Linked DNA regions of Pelodiscus sinensis. The protein of the gene in region 1 interacts with the protein of each later gene in a pairwise test. Links are inferred from orthologs where the notes say so. Each region holds a gene or a part of one and is shown on either strand. Other genes may lie near its edges.

Region 1 (9,721 bases):
CTTGGAGTGCCCGGAGTGCCCACACTGGGCACATCACACCACTCGGCCATCAGACCGGCTGCACTTGCCGCAGGCTGCCATCTGGGGAGAGGGGACAATTGGGGGGCTGCAAGAGAGCTTCCACCCCCAGAAGCCCACAGAGTCAGCCCAGTCCTCCCCATCGGGGGCTCGTACCCCATTCCTCCCTCACCTCCTTCCACTTACCCTTCCCTAGCCCCTTTTCTTGATGTACAAAATAAAGGACAATTGTGGTCAAAAATGGAATCTGTCTTTATTGAACAAAACTGGGGGAGACTGGGAAAAGGAGGTGGGAGGGGGAAGAGAGAGGCTGGGAGAGGGGAGGGCAACTACAATGATCAGGGGTTGGGAACAGGTCCCATATGAAGAGAGGCTAAAGAGACTGGGACTTTTCAGCTTAGAAAAGAATCAGACGGAGGGGGGACAGGATAGAGGTCTCTAAAAGCAGGAGTTGGGTGGAGAGGGTGCATACAGAAAAGTTCTTCTTTAGTTCCCATAAAGAAGGACTAGAGGACACCAAAGGAAAGGAATGGGTAGCAGGCTTCAAACTAGTAACAGAAAGTTCTTCTTCACAAAGCAAAGAGTCAACCTGTGGAACTCCTTGCTGCAGGAGGCTGTGAAGGCTACAACTAGAACAGAGTTGAAAGGGAAGTGAGATCAAGTCATGGAGGTTGGGTCCATGGAGTGCTATTAGCCAGAGGGTAGGAGTGGTGTCCCTGCCCACGGTTTGTGGAAGGCTGGAGAGGGATGGCACGAGACAAATGGCTTGGTCACTGTCTTCGGTCCATCCCCTCCAGGGTCCCTAGGGTTGGCCGCTGTCGGCAGACAGGCTACTGGGCTAGATGGACCTTTGGTCTGACCCAGGACGGCCATTGTAAGCTCAGGGCTCAGGGTCGGGGTCTCAGTGGACCCCCTTGATTTTCATGCACACCTGCTCCTGGGTGGCCAGGCTGGCAGCTCTCCTGCCCTAGACCGCCACTTTCCTGTGCCTAGTGCGGAGATCGTGGACAAGGTCCACGATGTCCGCACTAGCCCAGGCGGGTGCCCGCCTCTTGTGGTCCCGGGCAAGCTCCCGAGAGCCGCCAGCCTGGTCCCGGGAAGAGGAAGAGGGCTGGGGGGCATCGGGTGGGTGGCTCGAGCCGTGCCAGGTGCAGGGTCTGCTGGCTGGGTGCTGGCAGGCTTGCACCTGGCACGGGCACTGTAGCCAGCCCGTGCCCCTTTAAGGGGTCCGGGGCCGGGAGGGGGCAATAGAGTTTCCCTGTTGTTGGCCAGAGTGGCCACCAGGGAAACCTGGGGAGGGCTAGGCTCCCACTAGTTCGAATTAAGGGGCTACACACCCCTTAATTCAAACTAGCTAGTTCGAACTAGGCTTAATCCTCCTAAAATGAGGTTTTCCTAGTTCGAACTAAGCGCTCCGCTAGTTCGAATTAAGTTCGAACTAGCGGAGCGCTAGTGTAGCGCCTATGAAAGTTAGTTCGAACTAACGTCCGTTAGTTCGAACTAACTCTGTAGTGTAGACATACCCTAATTTAGGATCTGATGCATTTACAGCACAGTTAAGAATTAATCAGACTTCAAAAGGCTCAGATGCTATATTTTCCTCTGTATTTCAGCAGAGGTAAGTCTTTGTCAGTGAGGGTTTTTTGTGTTTTCATAGCCCCTAATTTTTATACAGGATATACTGGAATCAGCTTTGAAAATAAGGGCCAAGTGTGTATCATCTCAGTTTCAGGGCTGCCAGATTAAACAACCTCAGTAGTTTTCTGTGTTATTACTGATGACTATTGACAAGAAAGGCTTTAAGAAAACATAGACTATACAGAATGTAATGACCTACCTCCTAGCACATCGCAGTCACTGTCCATACTGTCATGTACGCCTGCAAAGATATTGGCCAAGGTAGATTTTCCCACTCCATGCTCCCCAATCAATACCACCCTGTAGTAGGGACTCCCGGACTCAGAGGAAATGACCGAATCAGAAGACTCTGATGACCAACTCCTTCGGTAATAATCTTCGGGGTTCATAGTGTATCTCTTGCGCATGTAGTACTCATGGGGGTCCTTGTGGACAGTCAGGTGTCGTCCATCGGCAGGGATGCTCCAGCGTTGCTGTTGCGCATGCAGCACACTGCTGCTGTGACGCATGGTGACGTTATTCAGAGTCATGGTTTTTACCTAGTAAAAAATAGCGAAGTTGCAAATGTTAGACCCCCAAAATTAGCAATGGTCACCATGTTTAAATAAAACACCTGGTGTGCAGACAAAAGAAGAATTAGAATGGTTGCCTCTTTCATTTGCCTCTAACGTTTCTAATTAGCAAGCCATCGTCATGGCTTTAGGATTCAGGTTGAAATCAGCATTACATACTAACCTATATGTTTGACTCCCCTGAGTTGTGAATGTTAAGCACTATTTTGGGGATGGTGTGGAGCTGCACTGCCCTGAAGGGTACCATCGAAGGCAGACTGCCTTTCCTAGCAGCCCATCATGTGAGTAGGAGGGGGGCGGTGCACGCTGCTGTGTCCTTTCAAAGAGCACGTAATTCCCGGTGAGCTCGTCCCTGCCCATTCTGGGGCGCTGTGAAACTCTAGGGGTGTGCAGAGGGAGAACTACAGCGAATGCAGTTGTGCCTGTCCCTTACACAGATTAAGCAATGGAGCGAATGTTTGTTGCACCCTCCCCATCACTGCATATGCATGTAAAGTCCAGCGGAGTCCGCTCGCACTTTGTTAAACAAGAAATCATTCTTTGCCTGCAAAGTATCATGCTTAGTCTCAACTGAGAGTTGACTCTGTTTTGAGAGCTACAAACATTAAACAATGCACATATAGTGCAGAACCACAGCAACAAGTCTTGGTATAGTGGGCTTGATTTTGCTCTCAGCTATATCAGTGTAAAAAAAAAAAAGGAACACAGTGGAATTAAGCTGGTATCAAATTGGTGTAAGAGAGCAGAATGAGGTCTAATGGGATCCCAGCGTATGTACCTGATCATGCCACTAGAGTAGAAATTACAGGGAGAAAATAGCTCAAATTTGCAGTCTTTAAATAAACAACTTAATTTGACTGAGGAGCAACTAGCCAGGTTAGCTCCTCTTGTCTAAACATGGCTTTTAATTATATTTGACTTTTGAATGTATTTTGCCTTGGTTGGAGGCAGAATATTATGATGTCATTCCTAGTGGTCCCACAGCTACCATTTTTAGGAAAGTTACTTTGATGCTCTCCAGCTCCCAAGGTGACAGTTATTTATACATTTTGCTTTTGTAGGAGTAACTCTGATGGTTCTCCGTTCTCTTCTGCATATTAACAAAGAGAGCGTCTGCTATTAAAACATCACAGACCGTTTTCAAACTTTATTCCTCATTTGTGTTTGCAAGAAGTGCCCCATCTCCTCAAATAGCACACTAGCAATTATTTTTTCTAACTTAAGCAACCACTGAAAACGTTTTAGAGACAGTACAGAGCCGGTCAAACAAATGTGCTGAAAAACAGCAAACTGTACCTGGAATTTGAATAGCTGCCTTTACCGAGCATATTGCCTCTGCTCTACAACTTGTCACCTATGCCATTTTCCTATCTGTAATTATAGCATTTGTTGCAAAATAAGTGCATGTGTATTCCATAGTTCACATAAACTTTTGCCAGCAAGAAATGAATTTAGCTGGAGAGGAGGCACCAAAGAAACACCGTTTCACAAACAAAATCAAATATTTTCACTTTCAAGTATCTATTTTGACTGTCAAAAAGACAGAATAAGAAATGTTAACTTTGATTTGGTTAAATAATAAACAGTCTACTTTGCTAGTAGTGCCTTCTTAAGGAATTTCCATGCTAAGCAAAACTTTAGAACTTACTGTAATACATTCAATTCCAAATTCACATGCCACATTTCATTTATCTACTTATTACCATCATTTCCCTTCACAAAAGCAATACATTCAAACTAACACTTTTCAGCCAGCACTACCTTACTTTGCACAGTTTCTTCCAAACACAGTCAGCTCCTTTGGTCAGTGGAGTGTGATATATTGAACTGGTCTGCTGGAATAATTCCTCTCCTGTTGAGTGGCTGCCTCTCTAATTCCTTCTCAGCAGACCCGGTTTATATTAAGACCATCTGATCAGAGACAGGGCTTTTCCGTGACGTCGTTGGCCTGTCCACACGAAAGCCAGCCCCCAGCTGGGAGGAAGCAGGCATACAGAGAAGCAAAACCTTACAGTAACACTAACAAAATCCCTTACTTGCAGTCATATGATTCTTTTCTTCGTTAATGATGCCAGTAAACCTTTTGTCTTTTTGCAGGGGGAAACAGGAGAGTGGAAAAATGCAATAAATTCTTATTTCATAACACGTGTCTTTCAGCTCTGCATGCAAGTGCTCTTGAAATCAGTGATGGCTAAAGAATTGCTTGTGCTGTTCTAATGTCTCAAGTGCGACAAATATATTTCATTATCCAGTTACAAAATGGAAGGGGCACCATCCTGGAACCTCTTAACGCCTGTATGTGGTCATAGGTCAAGAATTTATAAATACCTGAAAATTAGGAATTTTGTTCTATTTTTCAGTATAAGACTGATGAATGCACAAGATCCCATTTTTCACTTTCTTTACAACCTATAAGCCACTGAACAGTTTGCTCATGTTTACATGTGTTTTGGATGCACAGAATCTTATTCGCTGTGGTGTTATTCCAGTTTGGCGCTAATGGAATTCCACTGATCTCAAAGGTGTTATAGTCTCATAAAAGAGAAGCAGCACAAGGCTGCATAGTTTTCAAAAACTATATTGTGTGTTACAAAATACGCGCTTGGTCCTTAAATCTTTACTCTTTTAAGCCTCATTAGCTGTAAGGCGTTTTGCCAGAGAAAGCACTGCATTATCACACTCCTGTCCTGATAGTTTTAAGGATGAATGGAAAATTTTAATTGATAGAGACAAGTATGTTTACCCTGCAGTCCTCTTTCGAGAGAGGAATGCAAATGCAGCTGAGCAAAATTGCAAATGAAGCGCGGATTTTAATTTCCCATGCTTCATTTGCATAATCACATCCAGGCACTATTTCGAAATACCCTATTTCAAAAAAAGAAACGCTGTCTAGATGCGGTTATTTAGAAAGAAAACCCTTCTTTCAAAATTACCCGTACTCCATATAAAATGATGTTTAAGGGTAATTTTGAAAGGAGGGTTTTCTTTCAAAATAACCATGTTTAGACAGTGTTTTTTTTTCGAAATAGGTTATTTCAAAATAGTGCCCAGACGCGATTATGCAAATGAATCACAAGAAATTCAAATCTGTGCTTCATTTGCAATTTCGCTCAGCTGCATTTGCATTCCTCTCTCGAAGGAGGAATGCAGTGTAGACATATCCAAGGAAGATCCCTTACCAACAGTGTATACTGTCTCCAAGTGTTTTATAAAGTCATATAACATTTTTACTAATAAAAAACTAAAGAAATCTGAACAGATGAACTCAAATCCATTTCTGAACACGGACACAATGTCTTTGTGGGCAGCATGATTCACTGCTGTAAATCAGGAATAGCTGTGTTCTAGGTAATGACCCGCTACCATTGAACTATAGTGCTAAGAAAAGATGGAATTTACAAAACTCTTCGACAGAAACACGTTAATTTTTTCTTTTGGCAGGGATCCTTTCTGTGCTCCTTTTCCAACATATAAAGACAAAAACATTCTCCAAAATAATATTCTCCTATAAAGGCAATGGAAGTCACTCAAACTTGGCAAGAATTGGAGAAGCAGAATAAGCCCTTATTTTCACCTGCTCATGTCTCCGAATGCAAAGTTGCATGACAAACACAGAGCTTCATCACAACTTGGAGTATCAACTAGCTTTCCAGGATGACTGAATCACCAGCCAGTCCTGTGTTTGCAATATTAAGGTTAAATATCAATAAGAAGCTTATACCATAAGAAGCAGCCGTTTGGTCTATGGCCATAGGGAATCGCTATGAATACTGGTTTGCATAGCACTGCAAAGTCCTATCATACAGAATTGACTATTCTCTTGTTGGAAGAACAGCTTCATGCCCCAAAGGCCATGTGTGACGGAGTGCGGTTACAGACGACCCTTCGGGGGTGACTCCCGGGGTGCTGACACGGCCACTGTCACTCACCCATTTGACTTCCCGCTCTCTGGGGCTCCTCACCACCTGGTCCTGCTAGGCCAGCTCTGCTGGTCTCCCCCAGACAAGACCCCGAGCTGGGGTCCCTGCCCCCACCGAGAAGCAGTACAGACACGGAACCTCTTCAGGTCCAAGGAGAGTGCGGTTTAGTGCCCAGCTTCCTGGGATGTCGCTCCCCAGATGGGATCAAACCCCAAAGAATTAGATAAGGGTAAGCCACCTTTAACAAAGAAAGGGGGAATGTACACCCTAGTTGCCCCCCCCCCCCAGGTAATGATTATTTACACTGGGTTTGATAGAAAATAAAAATGATTTTGTTACATAGAAGCAGTAGGATTTAAGTGGTAATAAGAGAGAACAGGCAGCGCAAAGTAGGTTACAAATCAAAAGAAACAAAAACACTTGGCTAATTCTACACTGAAACCTCAATACAGATTTACTCAAACTCACCCTAAAGCCTCTTTTCCAGCTGCGCTCCAAACCAGGGCTGTCTCTTCACTCTGGGGTCTTCGGTTGCTTTCCTTCAGGTGCAGCCCAGCCAAAAGACCAAGGCCTCTGCTTTCCTCTTCTTTTTGTTAAAGAATTGAGGCCACTCCAACTAACCCCTGCTCAGCCTTAAGGACAAAAGAGATTGTTTAACAGTTGGGTAACACCCTCCTTGTCTCTTATTCACACATTTAAAATCCACAAAGTATTCCCCGCTCCCCAATTTTACACTAAAAAAAATGATACACATGTAGTCCCCTTACTAAAAGGGCCTGTTTTATTCTGAAAAGACCCTGTGTGCTACAATCCAGACTACAATTCCCATGAGCCCTTGGAAAAAAAAACAGGAAGGGAGGACTCTGGTGGGAGAGAGGACTGCTCTCTCCCATGTGCTTGAAGAAAGAGGCCTATCAGTCTGGGACTTTGCCTTGGAGTTTGGAACCAGAGGGGGAGCCAGGCTGCTGCCAAGGACATTGACCCAGTGCAAGGGCTGTTGGAGTGCAGCTACTGGATGCCTGTTGGAACTGGGAGTTAGCAGGCTGCCTCCTATAGGCACAGCATGAGGCAGTAAGTTTGGGCCTTGTTGGAAAAGTGCTGCCTGGAACAGAGCTGCTGTTTAGCCTGGACCAAATCCTCACTACAGCTGCAACATCAGCGCGCCAACGCAAGCACGTGTCTGGGACTGAGTCTAGGGGTGTGCACACTCTGGGGTGGGGTCACTGTTGTCTAGCTATATAAGCTTCAATTATTGATATGTGTTTGTTAATGCTATTCATTGCTAATCTTTTAATCCCTGTTTATTCAAATTAAGTAAAGATTGTTTATTTTAAAGTGTTCTATTAGATATAAATGATTTGTAGTTGTTCTGGAATTAGATCCAGATGTATGTTGGAATGAGTATATTCCTGGAGGCTCTCAAGGCACACCAGTGTGTGTTCAAGGCCAGCCAGGTGGAGGCACTGCCATTTTACATTCATTGCCAGCAAGGGACTGCAGTAAGGGGGTGGATAGGGCTTTCCCCAACTAGACACCATCACCACTGGGGTGCTCAGGATCTCTTTTGGGTTAAAACACCAGGCGCCCAGGCACACCTGTGAGTGTGACCTGCTCCCCAGTAACCCGGGGAGGAAAAAGGGGGTTACACACACATCAAAGTAAGATAAATAGAACCAGCAGATCATGACATGAAGATTGATGGGTTACACAAAATAATTCACTTAAAGCACCATTGAGTTATGTATATTCATGTCCATAAGTCCATTTCATAAAGCTTGGGGAGGGAGGGGGGGAGTCTGTCATACCATGCTCAGATTTTACAGAAAGGACACCAGTTCTTTGGCAGGCCTATTCATTTGGCTTCACTTTTCATCTTGCTGGTGGCTGTGGAACTATCCAGAGGTTATGCAGCTGGCTAAGTGCCTGGAGTGCCCTGTTCTGTAGCGCATGTTCATTTGGCTCATTGTAAATTATTATCATTTGTAGTTCTAAATGTGAAAACAACTTTTCTCTGCCACAGGAATGAAAGGGTTTATGCCCAGACTGATCAAGCAAAGTCAGAGGCGATGATGGATTCACTGGAAAATTGTAAATAGATAATACTGAAAAGCACAGACGGTAGCACTATATGTAGAAATAAACTCAGAGACACTAAAGCATTCAGATATCATTAAGGTTAGTGTTAAACCCACACTTGGGCATATATTTTTCATAACAGTCAATGGTCTTTTTAGGGTGGAAGAAGAAAACACCGCTCTGGAGTGACCAGGCAGTACATCTCTTCCATAAAACTGTCTGTAAGGACCACCCTAACCCAGTATGTGACGCTGGTATTTGGGAAACTTGCACGCACATTTTTCCTTTTGGCTTTTTTTCCCTTTTAAGAGCCTATTTACCACTGTTTCTGATGTGACACTTAACCCTTTTGTTTCTCATTCTAGGCTAGATTCTGCCACCTTTATACATGTGAAGTAAAACTTCATTTCTCAAGCAACTTCTGTGATCTCAGCAGTGCAATCCTATGTAAAGAAGGGTGGCAGAATCTGGATCTCACTATTTTTAATTGTGTGAAAGTAGAGGCAATGTGCCACATACACATACTGTAGTTACACAGACACAAAACAGAGCAAGAGGGATAACTAGTTAAACATACTAATCAAATCCTACTACATGCGTAGATTTCCAAATATGAGCCAATGGACTTTTGCAAGGCCATGTGATCTTGACTGCTTTGCCCTCTTGATGTCCCAGGCAGTCAGTAGTTTTGCAACCCAAAAGTCACTGAACAGCTAACAACTGATGAGAAGAGAGTCACATACATGATCATGTTACTTAGATGACAGAAACCTTCGGCCAAGGAGCTGTTATACTTAGGGCTTTCGTTCTCAGTTCATATTTTATTTAATTTTTCATTGGAATTTATTAGTGTTTATTATCGCAACAACAAAACCAGGTGAAAATAAATGCAAAAAACAATTAATTTTTCTGGGTAAATCAGTGTTTATGTTGGTGAACAGTTATACAGGGGAGAAAGTATTCAGTAGATTAATGCTTTAAATTCCGTTCATTCATGTGATTTGCTGCAGAACTAAAACAAAACTCAAAGCACAATGCAAACTGTGAATTTATCTCTAATCCTCAAATAAAACTTCCATTTGGATAAACTGTTTACTGTTGTAGACATAGAACTTTTAGCTGATATTTACATTCATGAGTAGACCACACTATTTGTAGTGCATACACTCATTGTCATCTTTTTCTCCTGTTTTTGTTTTTTAAAACTTTTGAATACAGGCAGTTCCCGACTTACGCGGATCCGTCTTATGTCGGATCCACACTTATGAACGGGGCTTTTCTCGCCCCAGAGCTCACGGGCGGCGGGTCACCACCCGTGTCCTCCGGGGCGAGAAAAGCTTCTCCCGGTCTCCCTGGTCTGCTGGGGGGGGGGGGTCCAGCAAAGCCGCTGGACCCCCCCAGCAGACCAGGGACACCAGAGCAAAGCCGCCACCTGGGCGGCTTTGCTCGTTTGCCCGGGAGCAAAGCCGCCCAGGCAGCGGGACCCCCGCCGCCTGG
Region 2 (9,867 bases), on another chromosome or scaffold:
ATGCATCGATGGCATCGTGGTGTGCTATAATGTTTGCAGCGTTGTTTCCTTGCAGCTTCAAATTGAGGTTGTTCAAAGATTCAAAAATGTCCACGAGGTATGCCAGTGAAAGTTGAAATGTTTGGTCCATAAATGTATGATATAACTCTTCTTTCTTCTGTTGCCTTCCACTTCGTCTTTCAGTTAGAATAATCTCGAAAACATGTTACCCTTGGAAAGCCATCGTACCTCCATGTGAAACAAAAGAGTTTTATGATCCGCTCCCAAATCCGTGCAAAGGACATAAAAAAGTATTGTATTTAAAGAGCTGTTCTTCACAAAATTGACAAATTTGATGGCCAAATTCAATGAGTCACATACGTCATCTGGAAGGGTTCTAGTAACCAACGCTTGTCTGTTTATGACACAGTGAGTTGAGGTTACGGCTGAATTTTTTTCTTTCACCAGCGTTACAAATCCAGAGTGAGAGCCAAGCATTGCTGGAGCACTGTCTGGGCATACATCAACCAGTTTTCCCCATGAAAGTCTATTTTCTTCAAAAAAGTCGGAAATCGTTTTCATAATATCAGAAGCCTTTGATGTGGTCATCAATTCCTTCGAAAAAAGCGGTTCTTCTTTCACAGTTCCATTATTAATGAATTGAACGTAGACAAGCAACTGACAACATTGTGCTACATCAGTGGTATCGTTGCACTGAATTGCAAAAGAAGAAGCCAACACTGCCTCCACAACTTGAAGTTTAAAGAACTTTCGCCAGCTCATCGATGAGACGTTTCAAGGAATTGTTAGAAAGTGAAATTTCCAATAGTTTTTTCTTGCTTTTGACACCAAGCACAATATCAGCAGCTTTCAACAAGCAAGGCTTCACAAGCGTTTCTCCGATTACGTGCGCTTTCTTGGCTTTAGCGATGAGCAATGACAGTTCATAAGAAGCTTCTACTTCTTTGGCCGATGGTTGATGAAAAGCTCCAATAGTGTCCAGCTTTGCATTTCAAATTTTGAAGTTTAGCAGCAAAAAACTCTTTTGGTTTGTCTGTCAAAGTGCTGTGGTTCTTCGCCAAGTGTTGCTCAAGACAACTAGGTCTCAAGGCGTCATTGCTAAGAACTGTGTGGCATTCTACACATGGAGAATGATGGATCTTTTTTTCCCCCATGACAGTGAAGACATATTTCATGTAGACTTCATCATACTTCCTTTTCTTAATCGCAGCCATAATATATTAATTTAAAACAAACTATAAAAATAATGTTCCCAATTAGAATAAATTTAATGGACACAAGTTACTTTGATAAGTTATTGCAAACATTTATTTACTACTACTATTACGTACGGACGCGTACTATCTTATATATACCCCACCACCAGTAACCAAGCAAGAGGGATAGCTCAGTGGTTTGAGCATTGGCCTGCTAAACCCAGGGCTGTGAGTTCAATCCTTGTGGAGGCCATTTGGGGCAAAAGTTTGTCAGGGATGGTACATGATCCTGCTGTGAAGGCAAGGGACTGGACTCAATGACCTTTCAAGGCCTCTTCCAGCTCTAGGAGATAGGCATCTCCATTAATTTACTCCCACGATAGAACAGTCCCGCAAGCATGCTAGAAAGTTTGAAAAAGTTTCATTTCCTTCTACATTGTCCTTTGGCCTCCCCACCAACCAAACTGGTTCCCCTATACTTCGAAAGGGTGTATATATAGAGAGAGAGAGAGGGCTTGACAAATAATGCAATCTGCTTGCCTGCAATGAGTAGATTTTACCAGCTGGCGAGTGCAGGGGTGGACTGGCCTGGTGGGCTGTTGTGATGGGCTGGCCGAAGCCTGCACTGGCCGGTGGAGGAGCACAGCGCTGCTGGGAAGGGGGAAGTGCAGCGATTCTTGCCACCGGGCTGCCTGCGTGTAGCTCCAGCGCGAGGGGGCGGGGCGGGACGCCAGGACGCTGGTGTGACGTGGCCCCGCTGATTTTAAAGAGCCACGGTAGCTTGGCTCTGGCCGCGTGTCCCTGGGAGCTGGCTGCGGCGCACGGCACACAGCGCAGCCAGGGCCCGCCCTGCCAGCCCCAGTCCTGCTATGGCCCCATTCCCCCTTTGTCTCCGTGCCACCCGTTCCCCACGCCACCACTACTCCCCGGGCCCCCTGCTCTCCCTCTTCCCTGCAACCCCTTGGCTCTGCGCCGCCCTTGCACCCCACACCCTGCTCCCCCTGATCCCTGCCCCCCCAGCTCTGTGCTGCCCATTCCCTGCACTGCCCCAGACCCCGATCCCTCTGCCCCTCCCGTTCCCCGCGCCACCCCCGTACTCCCCCACTGTTCCCTGCACTCCTCTGGCTCTGTGCTGCCCCTGCACCCTGCTCCCCCTGTGGGTCGGAGTGAAGGGTGCTTGCCCATAGGGAGGGGCTGGACAGGGCAGGGAAAAGGCTGCTGTGACCCAGCAGAGAGTGGAAGGGGGAGTTCACTTGAAGCGCCTTTGCCTTTATGGAAAAAACCGAATGAAAATGCTATTTGCTATTTCTAGGGCTAAAATGCGGGACAAAAACAAAAACAAACAAAGAAAACCCCATCGCAAAATGCAAACATGTATAAAAGACAACAACAAAGGGGGGGCGGCCAAAAATGTTTTGCTTGGGGTAGCAAAAAACCTAGAGCTGGCCCTGGGGCAGGGGAAGGGGCTGGGCTGGGCTGGGCTGTGGGGAGGGGAAAAATATGGGGAAGGGGCTTGTGCTGAGAGGAAGGGAGGGGAAGGGGGAGGTCAGGAGAAGAAGAAGAAGAAAGGGGAAGGCACCAAGGGATGGGGGTGCAGGAGAGACAAACGCCAGGGGGCCAAGTGCAGACAACGAGGGAAAGGGCAGGAGGGGAGGTGTCAGTGGGAGGGGGGACAGGGTGATGCTGGGAGAGGAGAGGGGAAGGGCATTGGGGGCTAGAGGGGGGAGGGGGAGGTGCTGGGAGAAGGCTTAAAAGAAGGGGTGGGCATGAGGAAGGCGGGGATGGAGCAAGGCATCTGTGAGGGCATAGGGGCATGAGGGGAATGGGGCAGAGGGTGGTGAGGGGGTGGGTATCAGGGAAAAAGAGGGCAAAGGGGGCAGGGGCAGTGAGGGAGGGTGCAGGGGCCAAGAGATTCTGGGGGTGGAGCAGGAGGGCAGACACCTGCAGGGGAGGGACCAGCACCAGAGGAGAGAGGCAGGGCAGGTGTGTAGAGGGAGGTGTTAGGAGAGGGGATGAGGAGGGGTAGCTCACATGAACAGAGTGGGGCTACTGGAGGAGTGGGCACAGGGGGAGAGAAGGGCTGGTGGAGGGGGGCAGGTCACAGGAGGGCTGAGGGCAGTGAGAAGGGCAGGAGTCAGGACAGCAGAGGAGGGTGAGGGGTTGGGGGCAGCAGGCACCGGGGGAGCTGATGGAGCAAGGGGAGGAGACATGGCAGCCGAGAGAAAAGGTAGAAGGTAGGGCATGGTACTCAGGGGGGTTGGGTGGGGGGCATGGTACTTGTGGGGGTTTGGGGAGGGGGGGCAGGTTACTCGTGGGGGTTTGGATGGGGGACAGGGTACTTGTAGGGGTCTGGGTGAGGAGAGAGGACAGCTAAGCTGGTACCTGGGGGTCCTGCAACCAGGTCCGGGGTCTCAGGAAGCACGTGTGCTACTTATTCCCTGGGCTGCTTCCTGAGTTTGAATTGGTAGCTGTTTGCAAGTCTGCCCCCGTTTGAGCCTTTTAAATCAATGATCATTCAAAAAGCCAAGCTCCGTGGCCCCTATTGTCCAGGGGAAATTAGCACCTTTTCCAAGTGGCTCTGGGGCGAGTCTGTAGCCCCGGGAGGAGGGAGGGAGGGAGACTTCGGGAAGCTGCGGCGCAAAACAAACAGTTAAAGATGAACTTTGGGTGAGGTAATGCCAGCACGGGGTCTTTCTTGGGGAGGTTCGGGGGGGCTGGGTCACCTTGCACCCCCCTGGAATTTCTTCACGCCCCCCAGTTTGGAAACCTATGATCTAAATGATCCTTCAATTATTTGAATGGCCAGTCTTTCATTAATCTTAATCACCAGCCTCCCTCTTTTTACAAGCTCCTTGCCCAAAAGCAAAGCTGCAAGCGGCTCAAACTCTGTTGTGTTTAAGAACTGTGTCTGGAACCAGGGGCTGCAGCTTTAAGCAGGCCTCAAGAATGAAAACCAGGGATTCAAACATTAGGGCTACATCTACACTGCAGGCTTCTTGTGCAAGAACATCTGTTCTTGCGCAAAAACTTGCGGAGCATCTACACTGCATGCGCATTTTTGTGCAAGTAAATTTACAGTAGAACATCGGGCTTCTTGCGCAGGAGTTATTCCTCTCCCCACGAGGAATAAGCCCTCTTGTGCAAGAGCTCTTGTGCAAGAAGGCAGTGTGGACGAGCAACAGGGGTTTCTTGCACAAGATTCCCCTATGGCTAAAATGGCCATCAGAGCTTTCTTGCGCAAGAGAGCGTCCACACTGCCATGGGCGCTCTTGTGCAAAAGCACATGGCAGTGTGGATGCACTCTTGTGCAAGACCTCTTGTGCAAAAGAGTTCTTGTACAAGACGCCTGCACTGTGGATGTAGCCGGGGGGGAAGGGGGCTACTGCTTCCCTAACTTCCCTAAATGGTGCCCTTGGTTGTGGTCTTCTATCCTAGCTGTCTCCTTGCAGCTCTAATGCCCTCAGGCCTTGCCTTGCCTAAGGCCCTGCAATCTGGGAGTGAGGTCAGGCCCGAGCTCCCCAGCTCTGCCTGCCTTTCCCCAGCCTGCTCTGTCACAGGAAGCCTCCAGCTTCCCTGGCAGCCAGGCCCCTCCTGCTCCCCTGCTGCTGACTCAAGAGTGAGTCTTTCCTCCCTTGGGGAGCCCTTATTTATACAGCCCATGCTGGACCCTAATTGGCTGCTCTCTGCCACATCTGCTTGCTCCACAGCCTCTCCCAGGGCTGGATTTAACTCTTTTTGGCCCACCACAACTTACCATGGCAAGCTAGTTCCTGTCTGGTTATCTAATCTTTCTTAATGATTCAATGTTCTCTTAGGCTATGTCTACATTGGCAAGATTTTGCGCAAATACTTTTAACGCAAGAGTTTTTGCGTTGAAGTATTTGCGAAAGAGAGCGTCTACACTGGCATGTGCTTTTGCGCAAGAGATGTGCTTTTGCACAGAAGCATCTGTGCCAGCGTAGACACTCTTTTGCGCAAGAAAGCTCCGGTAGCCATTTTAGCCATCGGGCTTTCTTGTGCAAGAAATTCATGTTGCTTGTCTACACTGACCCTCTTGCGCAAGAGGGCTTATTCCTGAGCGGGAGCGCCAGAGTTCTTGTGCAAGAAGCCCTGATTTCACACATTAGAACGTCAGTGTTCTTGTGCAAGAACTTGCGGCCAGTGTAGACAGGTGGCAAGTTTTTGTGCAAAAGCAACCACTTTTGCACAAAATCTTGCCAATGTAGACACAGCCTTCGCTATGCCCACGGCCACTGCACAGTGTGTGGGGTGTTTCCAGGGAACCATGCACAATGACTCCAAGACCCCCTTCCTGGGCGGGACCAGGTCATTCAGATCCCACCATTTCATACCTACATTTAAGGAGATGTTTTCCAAGGTGCATTATTTTGCATTTATCAGCGCTCAATTTCACCTGCCATTTTGTTTGGTGAGACCCCTCTTCATGGTTGGTCAGCCCCCCAACCCACATAGCCCCCCAACGCTCAGAGGAAGTGGTGCCCACTGGGACAGGAAATCCAGTGCTAGGCTCAGCCCCACGTGCTCCCCCGCCCCCGTTAGGTCTGGCCGCTGCAACGCCACGTGGAGGCGGTGGGACGCTCCCACTCTCCTCCGCTAGGGGGCGCCGCCGCGAGCTCTACCCTCTGTGCGTGCGGCCTCCCCTCCCGGCCCGTGCGTGCCGCGTGACGTCAGGCCCCGCCCCATCCGTTCGGCGTGTGACGTGTGGCGTGCGCCGCTGCAAGCCCCACCCCCTGCCGGAGCGCGCGGCGTCCGCAGTCCCGTTGCCGCAGAGCGCTCGGAGCCGGAGCCTCCTGCCTGAGCCCCGCGCCCCCCCCCCCCCCCCCCCCCCCCCCCCGCGCCACCATGTCGCTGCCCGACCCGGCCGGCGGGGACGAGCTGAAGCAGGCCAAGGAGAGCGAGGCCGCCGAGAAGTTCTCGTTCCTGGCCACGGTCACCAAGGCGCCCAAGAAGGTACCGGGGCGGGGGGGCGAAGGGGGATGCGGGGGGGCGGGGGCGAAGGGGGTTTGGGGAAGTGTGGGGGGGCGGGGGCGAAGGGGGTTTGGGGAAGTGTGGGGGGGCGGTGGGGAAGGGGGTTTGGGGAAGTGTGGGGGGGCGGTGGGGAAGGGGGTTTGGGGAAGTGTGGGGGGGCGGTGGGGAAGGGGGTTTGGGGAAGTGTGGGGGGGCGGGGGGGAAGGGGGCCGCGGGGGCCGAAGGGGGTTTGGGGAAGTGTGGGGGGGCGGTGGGGAAGGGGGTTTGGGGAAGTGTGGGGGGGCGGGGGGGAAGGGGGCCGCGGGGGCCGAAGGGGGTTTGGGGAAGTGTGGGGGGGGCGGTGGGGAAGGGGGTTTGGGGAAGTGTGGGGGGGGCGGTGGGGAAGGGGGTTTGGGGAAGTGTGGGGGGGGCGGTGGGGAAGGGGGTTTGGGGAAGTGTGGGGGGGGCGGTGGGGAAGGGGGTTTGGGGAAGTGTGGGGGGGCGGTGGGGAAGGGGGTTTGGGGAAGTGTGGGGGGGCGGTGGGGAAGGGGGCCGCAGGGGCCGAAGGGGACTCGGGGAGGTGGGGGCGAAGGGGAAGGAGGCTCAGGATCTGTGTGGGAGGGTGGCGAGTGGGGGGAGGCTGGTTCCAGGTAGGGCTATCCAGTTCGGGGGTGGGGTACAGAGGGTAGTGGTGATGGGCTTCTGCTCTTGAGATCCTGTTGGCAGCATATCCAAGCCGGCTGCCAAGTAGGGGTGGGTGAGGGTAAAGGCCTGTGAACTGGCAGCATGTACCTGGCAGTGGGGATTACAGGTCATAGGGGAGCTGGCCACCTGCTGTGACTCCCATGGGTTGCACTGGAAGGGGAGCAGGGGGAGCGGCTGCCCATAGGATGTGGGTGGGGAAGCTGTTTGCAGGATGGAGTGTCCTGGAGTTGTAGGGAGGACAATTCACAAAGCTTTGTAGGGTGGGTGTGAGGGGGAATTGTGATGGCCCTGTACAGGTGTCTGTCATGAGTCAGGTGGGTAGGTTTGATTTGAACTGGGCAAGTTATCTTCTATGATCTCAGGGTCAGCAGGAAGGCAACCTGGGAGTGGGTTGGAGGATGGCTTTGAGGCTGGGAGGAAGGTACCAGTAGCTTATGAACTGGGTCATGACAGCAAGGTGTAGGGAAGCCCAGGAGATGTGATTAAATATCCCCTGAATATTTCAAGAATACAGCAAGCCAGGCATTTTCGGGAGCAGTATGTTTGTGGGTGCAGTGGACAAGTGTGGGCAACCAGTGTGAGGAGGGATTTGAGGGCAGCTTTGAGAGAAGGGCCCATCTGATGGCAAGTTTGAAGGGGATGCAGCTCTAAAGCTTCCTGGAGTGCTCTCTGTGCTCAGCATTCCCCTCTTGTCTCTTCACCTAGAACATGACTGAAATTCTCCCATCAGCTGCTCAGTGCTAGCAAAGGTGAGAGTCCTCAGACTTGGTTACTGAGGCTTTTACCTCTCCATCATCTCAATTTTGTCTGAGTTGGATTATACAAGAAGATGGTAAAAACTCTTTGCTGTAGCCACCACTGGTAGAGTTGCACTTATGGTGAATTTCAGGTCTTAACTTTGCATGTGTCAAGAGAGTGGGGACTCTGGGATCTAGACTGGCTGTGGGAGATCCCGGCTGTATTGAATATCATGTTTTCCCCTAGGGTTATGCCACATGCCTCAGTGTTAGGACTTGAACAGAGTAAATGGGAAAAACACTAGCGTGCTCAGCCACTGGAAATGCAAAGCCTTCCTGTGAGAAAGTTTTGATTGTTTGCATAGGTGCTGGAATTTTAGAGGGCGGAGGTACTACAGGCCTTTTAAATCATTTGCATTTGAGACATCCCCTTCTGCCTAATCTTGAATAACTAGCATTCAGCTGCCAGTGACAAGCCCTCCATGGATCTTTCTGTGCATGGTATCTATGCAGACAGTGGATATAGCCTGGAGCAAGGAGCAGAAGAATGCAGAGGCTAAGAGCTGCTTTTCCCCAGAGGTGATTCTGCAGCTGTAACCATGCTTCTGAGAGAAGTAAAGCAAACACTTCTTTTGAGTGTTATCTCCTTGCAATCTTGCACAATAGAGATGGAAGTATAGCCTGAGGCTTGTGCCCACATAAGCTGTAGTGTGGCAGTGATATGACAGATGAATACGCTGTAACACATAAGCATCCCATGGTGGGGGTGGGGTGTGGGGGTGGCAGTTACAGCAGGGGTGGTGAGCAGTGTGGGACAGCCCTCCCTTTAATGTGAGGATGCATAGGGTTTAGCTCAATCTTGTTCTTGTGAGAGGAGCTCTAAAAGGACTCATTCTAAGACAGGGGAGGGATCACATGGTGATTCCCTGTTCTATTCCCTCCCTCTGGGGCACCTGGCACTGGCCACTGCCGGCAGACAGGACGCTGGGCGAGATGGATCTTTGGTCAGACCGTTCTTATGCTCGTAACTGGACAAATTGGAGAAATGGTCTGAGGTAAACAGGGTGAAGTTTAATTAAGACAAATGCAAAGTGCTCCACTTAGGAAGGAACAATCAGTTTCACATATACAGAATGGGAAGCGACTGTCTAGGAAGGAGTACGGCAGAAAGGGATCTAGGGGTTATAGTGGACCACAAGCTAAATAGGAGTCGACAGTGTGATGCTGTTGGGAAAAAAAGCAAACATGATTCTAGGATGCATTAACAGGTGTGCTGTGAGCAAGACGCGAGAAGACATTCTTCCGCTCTACTCTGCGCTGGTTAGGCCTCAGTTGGAGTATTGTGTCCAGTTCTGGGAACTGCATTTCAAGAAAGATGTGGAGAAATTGGAGAGGGTCCAGAGAAGAGCAACAAGAATGATTAAAGGTCTAGAGAATATGACCTATGAAGGAAGGCTGAAAGAATTGGGTTTGTTTAGTTTAGAAAAGAAAAGATTGAGGGGGGACATGAGAGCAGTTTTCAGGTATCTAAAAGGGTGTCACAAGGAGGAGGGAGAAAACTTCCTCATCTTGGCCTCTGAGGATAGAACAAGAAGCAATGGGCTTAAACTGCAGCAAGGGAGGTTTAGGTTGGACATTAGGAAAAAGTTCCTAACTGTCAGGGTGGTCAAACACTGGAATAAATTGCCAGGGAGGTTGTGGAATCTCCATCTGTGGAGATATTTAAGAGTAGGTTAGATAAATGTCTATCAGGGATGGTCTAGTCAGTACTTGATCCTATCATGAGGGCAGAGGGCTGGACTCGATGACCTCTCGAGGTCCCTTCCAGTCCTAGTATTCTATGATTCTATGTGTGTGGGCCGTAATGATAGCCCCTTGAATCCGCTGCAGTTTCATAGCTTGATGTGCAGCTGTCTGGTTACAGTGCTGCCAGGGGCCTGCTGGGAGCACTTCAGGACATGCAGCGAATGTCCTCTGAGACTGATGACATCAGTAGCCAGTGAAATCTTGGGTGCAGGTGCATTGCCATCAATAGGAATCAGTGCTCCAGGCCACTACCCAACCAGAGATTGAGACTAGCACTGATAGCAGAGGCGTTGGCAAAAACGCCAAAGTATACAATGCTAAGTGCCTCCAGCTTATCTCACTTTCCACAAAATCATAACCATTAACAAGCCTCTTTCCTTCTCGAGGCTTGTATTGATTTCCGTGAGTGCAAAGTTGGTGTGATTTCTGTGTGCCTTTTTACAGCTCTGAAACGC
Region 3 (10,329 bases), on another chromosome or scaffold:
TTGGTATAAGCAGGGAGCAGCAGTACAAGCTGGGAATTGCTTTTACTCATGAGGGTTAATTGATGAGCCCAGGCTTATCAGTTAACCATGCCTGGGGTACACGTTCACATTCCTAGCCTGGCCAGAGCAGCTCCTGTTGACAGCAGGCCTGGACAAGGTGTGACATGGGTAGGGGTGCTCCAGCCCAGCCCAAGTAGCTCTTGCCCACACCCCCTTTAATTACATTTAACCAGTTGACCAACTGGACAGGATTTTACAACCCAAATTTGCTCTAAACGAAACTTTTAAGTAGCCATCGTCTAACGTCTTCCTCTAAGATTTTTTAAAAGGAGATTTCTTAACATTATTTGAGCAACAAATATACATGGAAATAGCTAGCATACACCTGGGGTGGGGCATGGGAGAACAGGGGAAAATGAAGCGGGGTTAATATTTTTTAAAGCGTAGCTTTACCTTCACAATCTCTTAAGATAACTCTTTCCCAACATATAATAATCTGCATTACTAAATTGGCCTCAACTTTAGCTCCCCACAATTCTTAGTAGGAAAAAAATGTTAAGTTTCACAAATAAATCCATTGTTATTTCTATTTTTGTTTTCTTCCTTCATTACCTTCTCTTTCCTTCAGTCCAGGTTAGGCCTGGACTACCCTACATTGCTAGGTTAACATAAGGCATTTTATGACAATCCAATTATGTCAGTGTACACACGATAGCCTTGTTCCCACCAATGTAAGTACCTTACTACCCTGACATAAGCCTCTCATGGAGGTGGAGTTATGTTGATGTACTATGGACAATGCAGTGTCTGCACAGATATTGCAGTCTTTATATCAGCTGTTTGCTGTCTGTCAATTTCAGTTCTACAGAAGCCATGAAATTCACAAGAAAGCCTGGCCCCTGGCTCCCCAAGCTGCCCCCCACAAGCCAACCAGTCGCCCAGGATACCTGCTGCTGCCATACCCTGACTGTATTGAAGCTCCTACCTAGTTGGAAGCCCAGCTGTCCCCAACCCTTGGCTCTCTACTGGGAGCACAGCAAGACTCTGGGTATGGTGTGAGTTTTCACACCAGAGCCAGAAGCCCCAAGTGGCTTCTCCTCTGCTCCCAGCTGGAAGATGAGGCATGGGGCATAGGTGGGCTCCAGCAGGGAGCTGTGGAAAGTTGAGAGCTCTGGCTCTCAGCCCTCCCTCCCCACAGTTCCTCTTCAATCTGTGGAAGCACTCATTGAGAGGACACACATGACTGATAGGTGGGTAGTATGGAGATCAGCCACCACAGTAATTATTTTAGTGACTAAGTCGCCCTAAACATAGGTTAACTAAGATGGTAGAATAAACATGCTCTAAGTGTAATTTTCTTAACATTCAAAATCTCAACTAAAAAAAGCTTGGCTACAAAAGTAAAATAGAGAACACTGTTCCATTCATTCCAGATACCACAAATACATGAAGCTAATTTTCTCCGCTAGCCATGCTGCGCAACTCTGAAAAAATTCCCACCGTTTTGAATGGGTCTTCAGTTCTCCTCATCTTTTGCTTGGCAAGATATTGAATAAGGCTATTATTTTCAGGGGAACCCCGTACTCCAATTGTAGATCTGCGCTTAAGTTTTAAAGCCATGGATTTCTCTGAAACAAGAACAATGCAAGAAAAAGCACAATGAAACTTCAGGAGAACACTTACAAGTATTTAAAAATACCAGGGAAATTGCTTCTATTTAAAAAAATGTAGGCATTATATAAAGTCTTGTATTTGGTCAGTTGTCTTCATTAGAAGAAAAAATAAAAACTGCAAGCATTTGAAATCTTGATAGTGTATTACATAACTCACAGGAACAATCAAAAGACTGTTAGAGAAGGAAAACTCCACAACAATTTTGTGGAAGAGGTGAAAGAAGGTCGTGTGTGCGCACGTGCGTCCACCCACCCTCTCTCTCTCACGGAAAGCATAGAACAGTTTCTTTGCTTTGTGTGTATCCAGAAATCAGGCACAGTACTGGTATACAGAAAGGGAAAACAAGAAAAGGTCTTTACAGAAAGTAAAAACAAAAAAGCTCAAAAGGAAAAACTCTTTCATATCAACTCTTGGGTATCCCCTTCCTTGACAGCATGAATGTTCCTTCACTCAACACTTCTCCACAGTACAAGAACCAGAAGATAGAAAGTTAATGCTGTATGACCAACATAAACTTTCATGAGAAGTTCTGCTAGAATTCCCAGGTTTGGGGCTGTGAGTGGGCGAGAATAGTGCCATGCAAAACTACCCTCCCTCAGCTTCCTTGCATCAGAAAAGCCAAAACAAAATAAAAACCCACATTCCTAATTTGAAGTCTAACACTGTTTCCATGGGAGAACTATATTGACAGTTCCTAGATCGGTTTGAAAACATGTTTAGCAACCTATTTAACATCCTCCTTTGCTCTCTTTTGTGCCCTTAAACAGGAACAGTAGAAAATGATGATGTAAACATCACTACAATATACATAAAAAGTATTGCTGTGAAACAATCATGGTGTAATTATCAAGGTGTAAATTTACTGTCATTTGGACATCAGGAAGAAACCCTGTCTACCTACTGATCGTGAAATCTCACACTTAGTTTTACTTATGAAGAGCCTATGCCACTGACAGAAATAGCCAAATTTGGCTATAAAAGAATGTAGGAGGAAGAAAGCTCTGTTACCTTTTCAAAATTCCTTCCATCTGATCCTATTCCCATGAATAGGCTTAACAGAGCTCTAGGAAGTCATAGTATTTCCCCTCTCCCCAAGAAAACACATGTTTAATAGCAAATTACTCTATACACCAGCTATAATGAATGTTGGACAATTCTTCACAATTTCCATCTCCTGTACTATTTCCAAATCACTACTTATAAAACCTATATCTGTGTTATCAGAAATTGTCCCAAATGCCCTGAAATCTTCTGGACCACCATTCACAACCACCATTAAATATTTAAGAGAATGTTCTCATTCACAAATGAACCACAGTATTTTGAAACATTCATTCCAAGAGTCACTTTGCTAACCCCTTACCTATAGATGGCTTAGCAGTAAAAGACTCTGGAGTAATCCCAAATTCAGCTATAGTTACACTTGCAAAATCAACAGGTGTCTTCATTACATTCTCTGATGTTTCACAATCTGGTTTTACATCTGCTTCACCTTTATCAGGTGTCACATAGCTTGCATCATCCAAGAATGTAGGGCTGCCTTTTGAAAAAGGACTTTGAGGTTTGTGTGCTGTCAAAAAGGACAAGGAAGGTTGAAGTAAGTTTCCCTTTAGTTTAAAAGAAAGGCTTTTGTTTACTGCCAGTTTACTATCATCCTTGCTGTTCTGATATGATTTTCTCCTTATGTATTCGTTGCATTTTACTCCAGGTTTAAATACATGTGTAGATCTCAGGTCATTTAAATTTTCAATTTCTGAAAGGTATGAGCTTTTTGATTCATCCATTTTGACAAACTTGTCTTTTGGAATGGGCAGAGAATAAACCTTCTCTTCTTCAATAAGTCCTTTCAAATTTTCTTTGACATCAGCAACAGTATTTATAATTTGTCTAGATTTTCTGCGCATTGTCAGTGCTGTTTTCTGAGCTTAAAAAAATATGACCAGTCTTGTTGCTCTCTTGTAATCATGCGTCTGTCATTAAGACGTCGTCATTATGTTTTTTTGTAAAAGCAATCACCATAACATGCAGACATCAAGCCATTAGAAGATACTGCTGCCATTCTATGGAGAGAAGCATGAAATGTTAGCTATGAAGTTTACTGTAAATATCAGATCTTATATGCATAACATTCTGACGTATGTTGATGTCTATATTAAACACAAAAACCATCTAAGCTAATTCAACATTACGGTGGAGATTTCCAAATCACCACCTCACGAAATCTAATACCACCATCTACATGTTTTGCTAGTCTATAAAGTGCTACCATATCATTTGTTGTTTTTTTAAAAATGCACAAGCCAGTACTCACTTTCATTAAAGAAATATCCAGCTTCTGAGATAATGATCATCTAGAGCACAACAGGATAAATCAGTTTGTTCATTTAAATAAAAAGATGTTATCTAAGTATGGCAAATAGGATAGTGAAAAGTTAAACAGAAATTCATGCCCAAAATTCAAAGCAGTATAAGCACAAGTCTTGCACCTGAGCATCACAATGCTTAACTAAGTGTGTCAGGCTGTGACAAAATGTTATTAAAAGAACATTGTAACAACATGATGCTGCAGGTTTATTCAATATCAAAGTGGGCCTTCCTGCTTTGAAAAGCTCAACACCAGTTGGCAGATGGAACAGAGTATTAAGAGTAAGTTGATCCTTTAAAATAACAGGTGTTTTAAGAAGGGGGAAAAGCCTGTTATACCATGCTGTGCATGTGGCATTGTTTGACATATATGAATGGGAGGCCCAGGTTATCTACTTTTAGTTGTTTCATTGTTCCCTTTATCATACTAAAATGTGACCATAGATTGGGAGCACTTGGTGGTACAGAAAGCCTGTCATTCAACTGGGCAACAAGGTGAAATGGAGAGTGAGGGCAATGGGTAGAAAAGAAGACGGGAAATTTTGTTGGGCAAGCATGCCGAGTCACAGCTGCTGCTCACTGCTGCACATTCTTGACCCCCATCCAAGGGGATGCAGCTTGAAGGGAGGGGGGGGGCGCGCACAAAGAGAAAAGGGAGCATATTCCACATATTCTCAAGGGGATCACAGGGGCATGTAGCACATGACAAAAAGAAACCCGGTAACAGGGGCCAACACAGCTCCAGGAGGGGCAGCAGAGAAGAGCCCCTGTGCCCAAGGGTCTATCAAGCAATATCCACCCAGCCAGCAACTTCCTCCCTCCCCAGCCCATTCTCCAACCAGTTGTTTCCATGGGCATTTCCTCAACTCCTATCATACCTGCCCCCCTCATTAGCCTCCCCCACCCCCGCTCCCCCTCATTAGCCTCCCCCACCCCCGCTCCCCCTCATTAGCCTCCCCCACCCCCGCCCCCCCTCATTAGCCTCCCTCACCCCCGTTATCTGCTCCCCCTCATTAGCCTCCCCCACCCCCGCCCCCCCTCATTAGCCTCCCCCACCCCATTATCTGCTCCCCTCATTAGCCTCCCCCACCCCCGCTCCCCCTCATTAGCCTCCCCCGCCCCCTGCCCCCCTCATTAGCCTCCCTCACCCCCGTTATCTGCTCCCCCTCATTAGCCTCCCCCACCCCCGCCCCCCCTCATTAGCCTCCCCCACCCCATTATCTGCTCCCCTCATTAGCCTCCCCCACCCCACCCCCGCCCCCCCTCAGCCTCCCCCGCCCCCGCCCCCTGCCCCCCTCATTAGCCTCCCCCGCCCCCCACCCCCCTCATTAGCCTCCCCCGCCCCCTGCCCCCCTCATTAGCCTCCCCCGCCCCTCCCCCTGCTTCCGCTCCCCCCTCACCCCCAGCGGCTCCTGGATCCCGAACGATCCGACTGAGGAAACTCCACTAGGCTAGACGCGCCTCTAACATTCAAACTCACTGCCTCCTCCATGCACGTGCGTATCCCTCCGCAGGCTGGGCCAGCGCTGAGGCGCCTCCCCTGCTAGCCCCACCAATCTGCGCATGTGCCATCCGCCTCATGGAAGGGGCAAAGAAGAAGGCTGTCGCTGGCAGACTTAGGTGCTCAGTCTCTGCCGGCGGCTCAGCGACACGGGACTCTTTTCCCTGCAGCGAGTCCCGGCAGCGCGCAGGGAACAGAGCTTCGTCGCGATTGGAGAGTTCTTAGTTTTGAAATAGAGCCCATCAAACGGCCGGTCCTTCCCTCACGTGACATACACGAGCCAATCAGAAGGCGGGGAGTGAGTCGACCCCCCTTTTATGCAAATACGCCTCATGCCATTTGGCCGTGAAGGGTGACGCCCTACTCTTTTCAAGCTGCCTGACTGTAAGAGTTCTGATTGGCTACAACCGAGACCCCGCCCCCCCCCGAGGCAGACCGCCCCCTGTCAATTCTCCCTGCCTAACCTCCACACACCTGCACCAATGAACGTCCCTCCCACCTCTGCATTCTATTGGGCAAGAGGAGGGGGAAGTGCGGCTCTGGTTGGGTCCCGGCCTTGTCAGTCACCGCTGCTGGTTTCCGGGTTTAGAAGCATCGTAGGAGCATGAGGCGGGTCACCCTGTTCGTCAATGGCACCCCCAAGAATGGGAAGGTGAGGGGGCAAGGGGCTCTGAGGAGAAGAGGGCGGGGGGACTCCGGAGCTTGCATGGTGGGGGAGGACGTTTTGGGGGGGGCATGGGGACCCTGAGAAGAGGTGGGGGAGGGGAACTAATAGGGGGGGTGCGCGAGGGAGAGGAGACGTTGGAAGCGGGAGGGAATGCGAGGGGGGGTTAAGGTGGGGGAGGAGCCTAGTTAGGGGCGGGGTTTGAGGGGTAGGTGTTGAGGGGGAGGAGCCTAGTTAGGGGCGGGGTTTGAGGGGGAGGTGTTGAGGGGGAGGAGCCTAGTTAGGGGCGGGGTTTGAGGGGGAGGTGTTGAGGGGGAGGAGCCTAGTTAGGGGCGGGGTTTGAGGGGGAGGTGTTGAGGGGGAGGAGCCTAGTTAGGGGCGGGGTTTGAGGGGGAGGAGCCTAGTTAGGGGCGGGGTTTGAGGGGTAGGTGTTGAGGGGGAGTTAAGGCGGGGGAGGGGCTTAGTTAGGGGCGGGGTTTGAGGGGGAGGAGTTGAGGGGGAGGAGCCTAGTTAGGGGCGGGGTTTGAGTGGTAGGTGTTGAGGGGGAGTTAAGGTGGGGGAGGGGCTTAGTTGGGGCGGAGTTTGAGGGGTAGGTTTTGAGGGGGAGTTCAGATGGGGGAGGGGCTTAGGTAGGGAATGGGGTTTGAAGGGTACTTTGGGTGAGGACATGGAGGGAAGGCAGTGTAGCTCTCAGGAGGAGCAGGACTTGGGGGGCACGGGGAAAGAATGCCCCTGGTGCCCTGTTGGTAGGTGAATGCTAAGGTCTCGGTCTGTGTATCTTTGTGGGTGTCGCAGGTTTGTGGATGGGAATTATTGCCTGTGAATCACAGTGTAAATCCTTGGGGGGAGAGGAGGTTGTGGTTGTTCTTGCAGGTTGTGTTAATTTGGCTGGGGTAGTGGGTAGATATTGTAAATCTTGCTGCTGCAACTCACACCGTTCTCTGGTGTAATGTAAGTACGGGCTGTAGAAAAATACAGGATTTTTTTTTAAACATTACAAAACGTGGGTTTTTAAAAAATATGTAACTTTTTTTTTTAATGCGTAGCAGCCTCTGTCTGCTGGGAGCTTGGACTCCCCACAAACAGGGGCCATTGCCAACACATGCTACTGCCTTTCTATCAGAAGCTCCTCTCGTGGACTGGCTCCCGCATGCCACCCCGCTCTGCTGCCCCTGGTAGCTGAGAGTGTTGGTGGCATAGGGTTTGAGGAGTCAGTATAATCTGATAGTCCTGCTGTAAGTGTGCCAACTTGAGAGAATTCTGTAGTCAGCATGCACAGAACAGATTATGAACAGGAGGCTACCAGACAACTCACCAGCACCAGCTTCTACAGGCTTCTCTCCTATGATTCCACTAAACACCAAAAAGAACTAAACCACCTGCTCATTAAACTTCCTGATACAACTCAGGACCAGATTTACACAAACACACTCACAAACACCAACCAGAAGCTTTATATCTGCTACCCAAGATCCACAGACCTGGGAAACGCATCATTACAGGACAGTCACATTTTCATCACCTTATAGCGGAAACCTACCGACTGTTATAATTACCTGCATGCCTCTAGCTTCCATTCAACACACATTTCTCAGTCAGTTGTGTGACGGGGTGCGGTCACAGATGACCCCTTGGGGTTGCCTCCCAGGGTGCTGACACCGCCACTGCCACTGTCCTTCCTTCTCTCTGGGGCTCCTCACTGTCTGGTCTGGCTGGGCCAGTTCCGTTGGTCTCCCCCAGCCAAGGCCCTGAGCTGAGATCCCTGCCCCCACGAAGAAGCAGTACAGACACTGAACCACTCCAGGTCCTAGGAGAGTGCAGTTTAGAACCCAGCCTCCTGAGAGAGCACTCCCCAGATGGGATCAAACCCCAAAGAATTAGGTAAGCCCCCTTTAGCAATGAAAGGGGGAATGTGCACACTGGTTGCCTCCCCAGGTAACAATCGCTTACACTGGGTTTGATAGAAGATAAACATGGTTTTATTAAGTTGAAGCAGTAGGATTTAAGTAGTAATAAGAGAAAGTAGGTAGAGCAAAGTAGGTTACAAATAATCAAAAGAAACAAAACCGCTTGGCTAATTCTCCACTGAAACCTCAGTGCAAACTTAAACTCACCCTAAAATCTCTTTTCCAGCTGCCACTCTAAACCAGGGTTCTCTTCCCCAGCCTGGGGTCTCAGGCTCCTTCCTTCAGGTGCAGCTCAGCCAAAAGATCCAGGCCTCTGCTTTCCTATTCCTTTTGTTAAGGAGTTGAGGCCACTCCCTACCAGCCACTGCTCAGACTTAAGGATAAAAGATTGTTTAACAGTGGCTCATCTAGAATTTGCAGGTAACGCCCTCCATGTCTCCCATTCACACATTTGAAACTCACCAAGTATTCCCCACTCCTTGTGTCGAATTTTGTACACACAAATGACACATACAACAGAGTAAGATAAACAGAACCAGCAGATCATGACATGAAGATCAATAGGTTACATGAAATAATTCGCTCAAACCACCTTTGAGTTATGTATATGCATGTCCAAGAGTCCACTTTGTAAAGCATGGGGGAAGGGTCTGTCACTTAAAACTTAAATACTAACCTGGAGAAGTGGAAAAAACGGATTGACCGAGCCAGACGAGTACCCAGGCATCAGCTTCTGCAAGATAGGCCCAACAAAAAAAGCAATAGAACACAACTGGTCATTACCTAAAGCCTCCAACTTAAACTCCTACAGTGCATTATTATCAATCTGCAACCTATCCTGAAAAATGACCCCTCACTCTCACAGGCCTTGGGGGCATGCCAATCCTCACCTACAGACAATTCTTTCCCGTAACCACATAGTTCACCATCATATTCACCCAGGAACCCACCTCTGTGATCAACTCTGGTGCCAACTCTGTCCACACATCTATACAAGCGGCATCATCACAGGACGTAACCACATCAGCCACCACTTCAGAGGCTCATACAACTGTACATCCATCAATGGGATCTATGCCATCAAGTGCCAGCATTGTCTCTCTGCCATGTATATTGGCCATACTAGACAGTGTCTATAACAAAGGATTAATGGACACAGAGCAGATATTAGAAATGGTAACACACACAAACCTGTTGGGGAACATTTCCACATCCCCGGGCACTCACTAATGGATCCATAAATGTCTGTACTATTTCAAAGCAATTTCAAAAGTCCCCTAGAGAGAGAAACTACAAAACATGGGTTTCATTTACAAGTTTGACACCTTGAATATAGGTTTAAACAAAGACCTGGTCTGTATGGGCCGCTACTTTCCACATCCTAGAAAAACTTAATGTTAACACATTTCTGAGACCGGATGGCATTCATCCAAGGGTTCTAAAAGAACTCAAATGGGAAATTGTTGAACTATTATCTGTGGTTTGTAACCTATCCTTTAAATCGGCTTCCGTACCTAATGACTGGAAGGTAGCCAATGTGACACCAATATTTAAAAAGGGCTCTAGAGGTGATCCTGGCAATTACAGACCGGTAAGTCTAACTTCAGTACCGGACAAATAAGTCAAAACAATAGTAAATAATAAAATTGAGAGGCATGTAGAAGAACATAATTTATTGGACAAAAGTCAACATGGTTTCTGTAAAGGGAAATCATGTCTTACTAATCTATTAGAGTTCTTTGAAGGGGTTAACAAACATTCGGACAAGGGGGATCCAGTAGATATAGTATACTTAGATTTTCAGAAAGCCTTTGACAAGGTCCCTCACCAAAGGCTTTTGTGTAAATTACATGGCCATGGGATAAGAGGGAAGGTCCTTTCTTGGATTGAGAACTGGTTAAAAGACAGAAAACAAAGGGTAGGAATAAATGGTGAATTTTCAGAATGGAGAGGGGTAATTAGTGGTGTCCCCCAAGGGTGAGTCCTGGGACCAATGCCTCTTCTTGCGTCTACACTGCCCTTTCTTGCGCAAGAAAAACCCTCTTGCGTGATGCCGTTACACCTATTACTTTTCAGGAAGAACGGCATTGCGCAAGAGGGTTTTTCTTGCGCAAGAAGGGGCAATGTAGACGCTCCTTGCGCAAGAGCCTCTTCTGAAAAAAATGGTGGCTCATTAGGAATGTAAATGAGGCTCGGCGATATTCCATGCTTAGCCTCAT

What was found.
Region 2: the proteins of GEM (region 1) and AHCYL1 interact in binary tests that used the Homo sapiens proteins (3 or more experiments, as listed by UniProt). The two-hybrid records come from large-scale screens. The link is inferred for Pelodiscus sinensis from reciprocal best matches to the Homo sapiens genes GEM and AHCYL1.
Region 3: the proteins of GEM (region 1) and KCTD9 interact in binary tests that used the Homo sapiens proteins (3 or more experiments, as listed by UniProt). The two-hybrid records come from large-scale screens. The link is inferred for Pelodiscus sinensis from reciprocal best matches to the Homo sapiens genes GEM and KCTD9.

The regions. Positions count from the first base shown.
Region 1 is NC_134712.1:40,656,296-40,666,016, reverse strand, and holds the start of GEM (GTP-binding protein GEM), read right to left. Parts: upstream 4,146-9,721; 5' UTR 3,995-4,145; intron 2,196-3,994; 5' UTR 2,187-2,195; coding exon 1,856-2,186; intron 1-1,855. UniProt on the Homo sapiens protein: Could be a regulatory protein, possibly participating in receptor-mediated signal transduction at the plasma membrane. Has guanine nucleotide-binding activity but undetectable intrinsic GTPase activity.
Region 2 is NW_027465886.1:178,187-188,053, reverse strand, and holds the start of AHCYL1 (S-adenosylhomocysteine hydrolase-like protein 1), read left to right. Parts: upstream 1-5,945; 5' UTR 5,946-6,059; coding exon 6,060-6,167; intron 6,168-9,867. UniProt on the Homo sapiens protein: Multifaceted cellular regulator which coordinates several essential cellular functions including regulation of epithelial HCO3(-) and fluid secretion, mRNA processing and DNA replication.
Region 3 is NC_134738.1:9,381,616-9,391,944, forward strand, and holds the start of KCTD9 (BTB/POZ domain-containing protein KCTD9), read left to right. Parts: upstream 1-5,949; 5' UTR 5,950-6,143; coding exon 6,144-6,191; intron 6,192-10,329. Other genes in the region: CDCA2 (cell division cycle-associated protein 2), read right to left, coding at 1,501-1,628, 3,038-3,578. UniProt on the Homo sapiens protein: Substrate-specific adapter of a BCR (BTB-CUL3-RBX1) E3 ubiquitin-protein ligase complex, which mediates the ubiquitination of target proteins, leading to their degradation by the proteasome.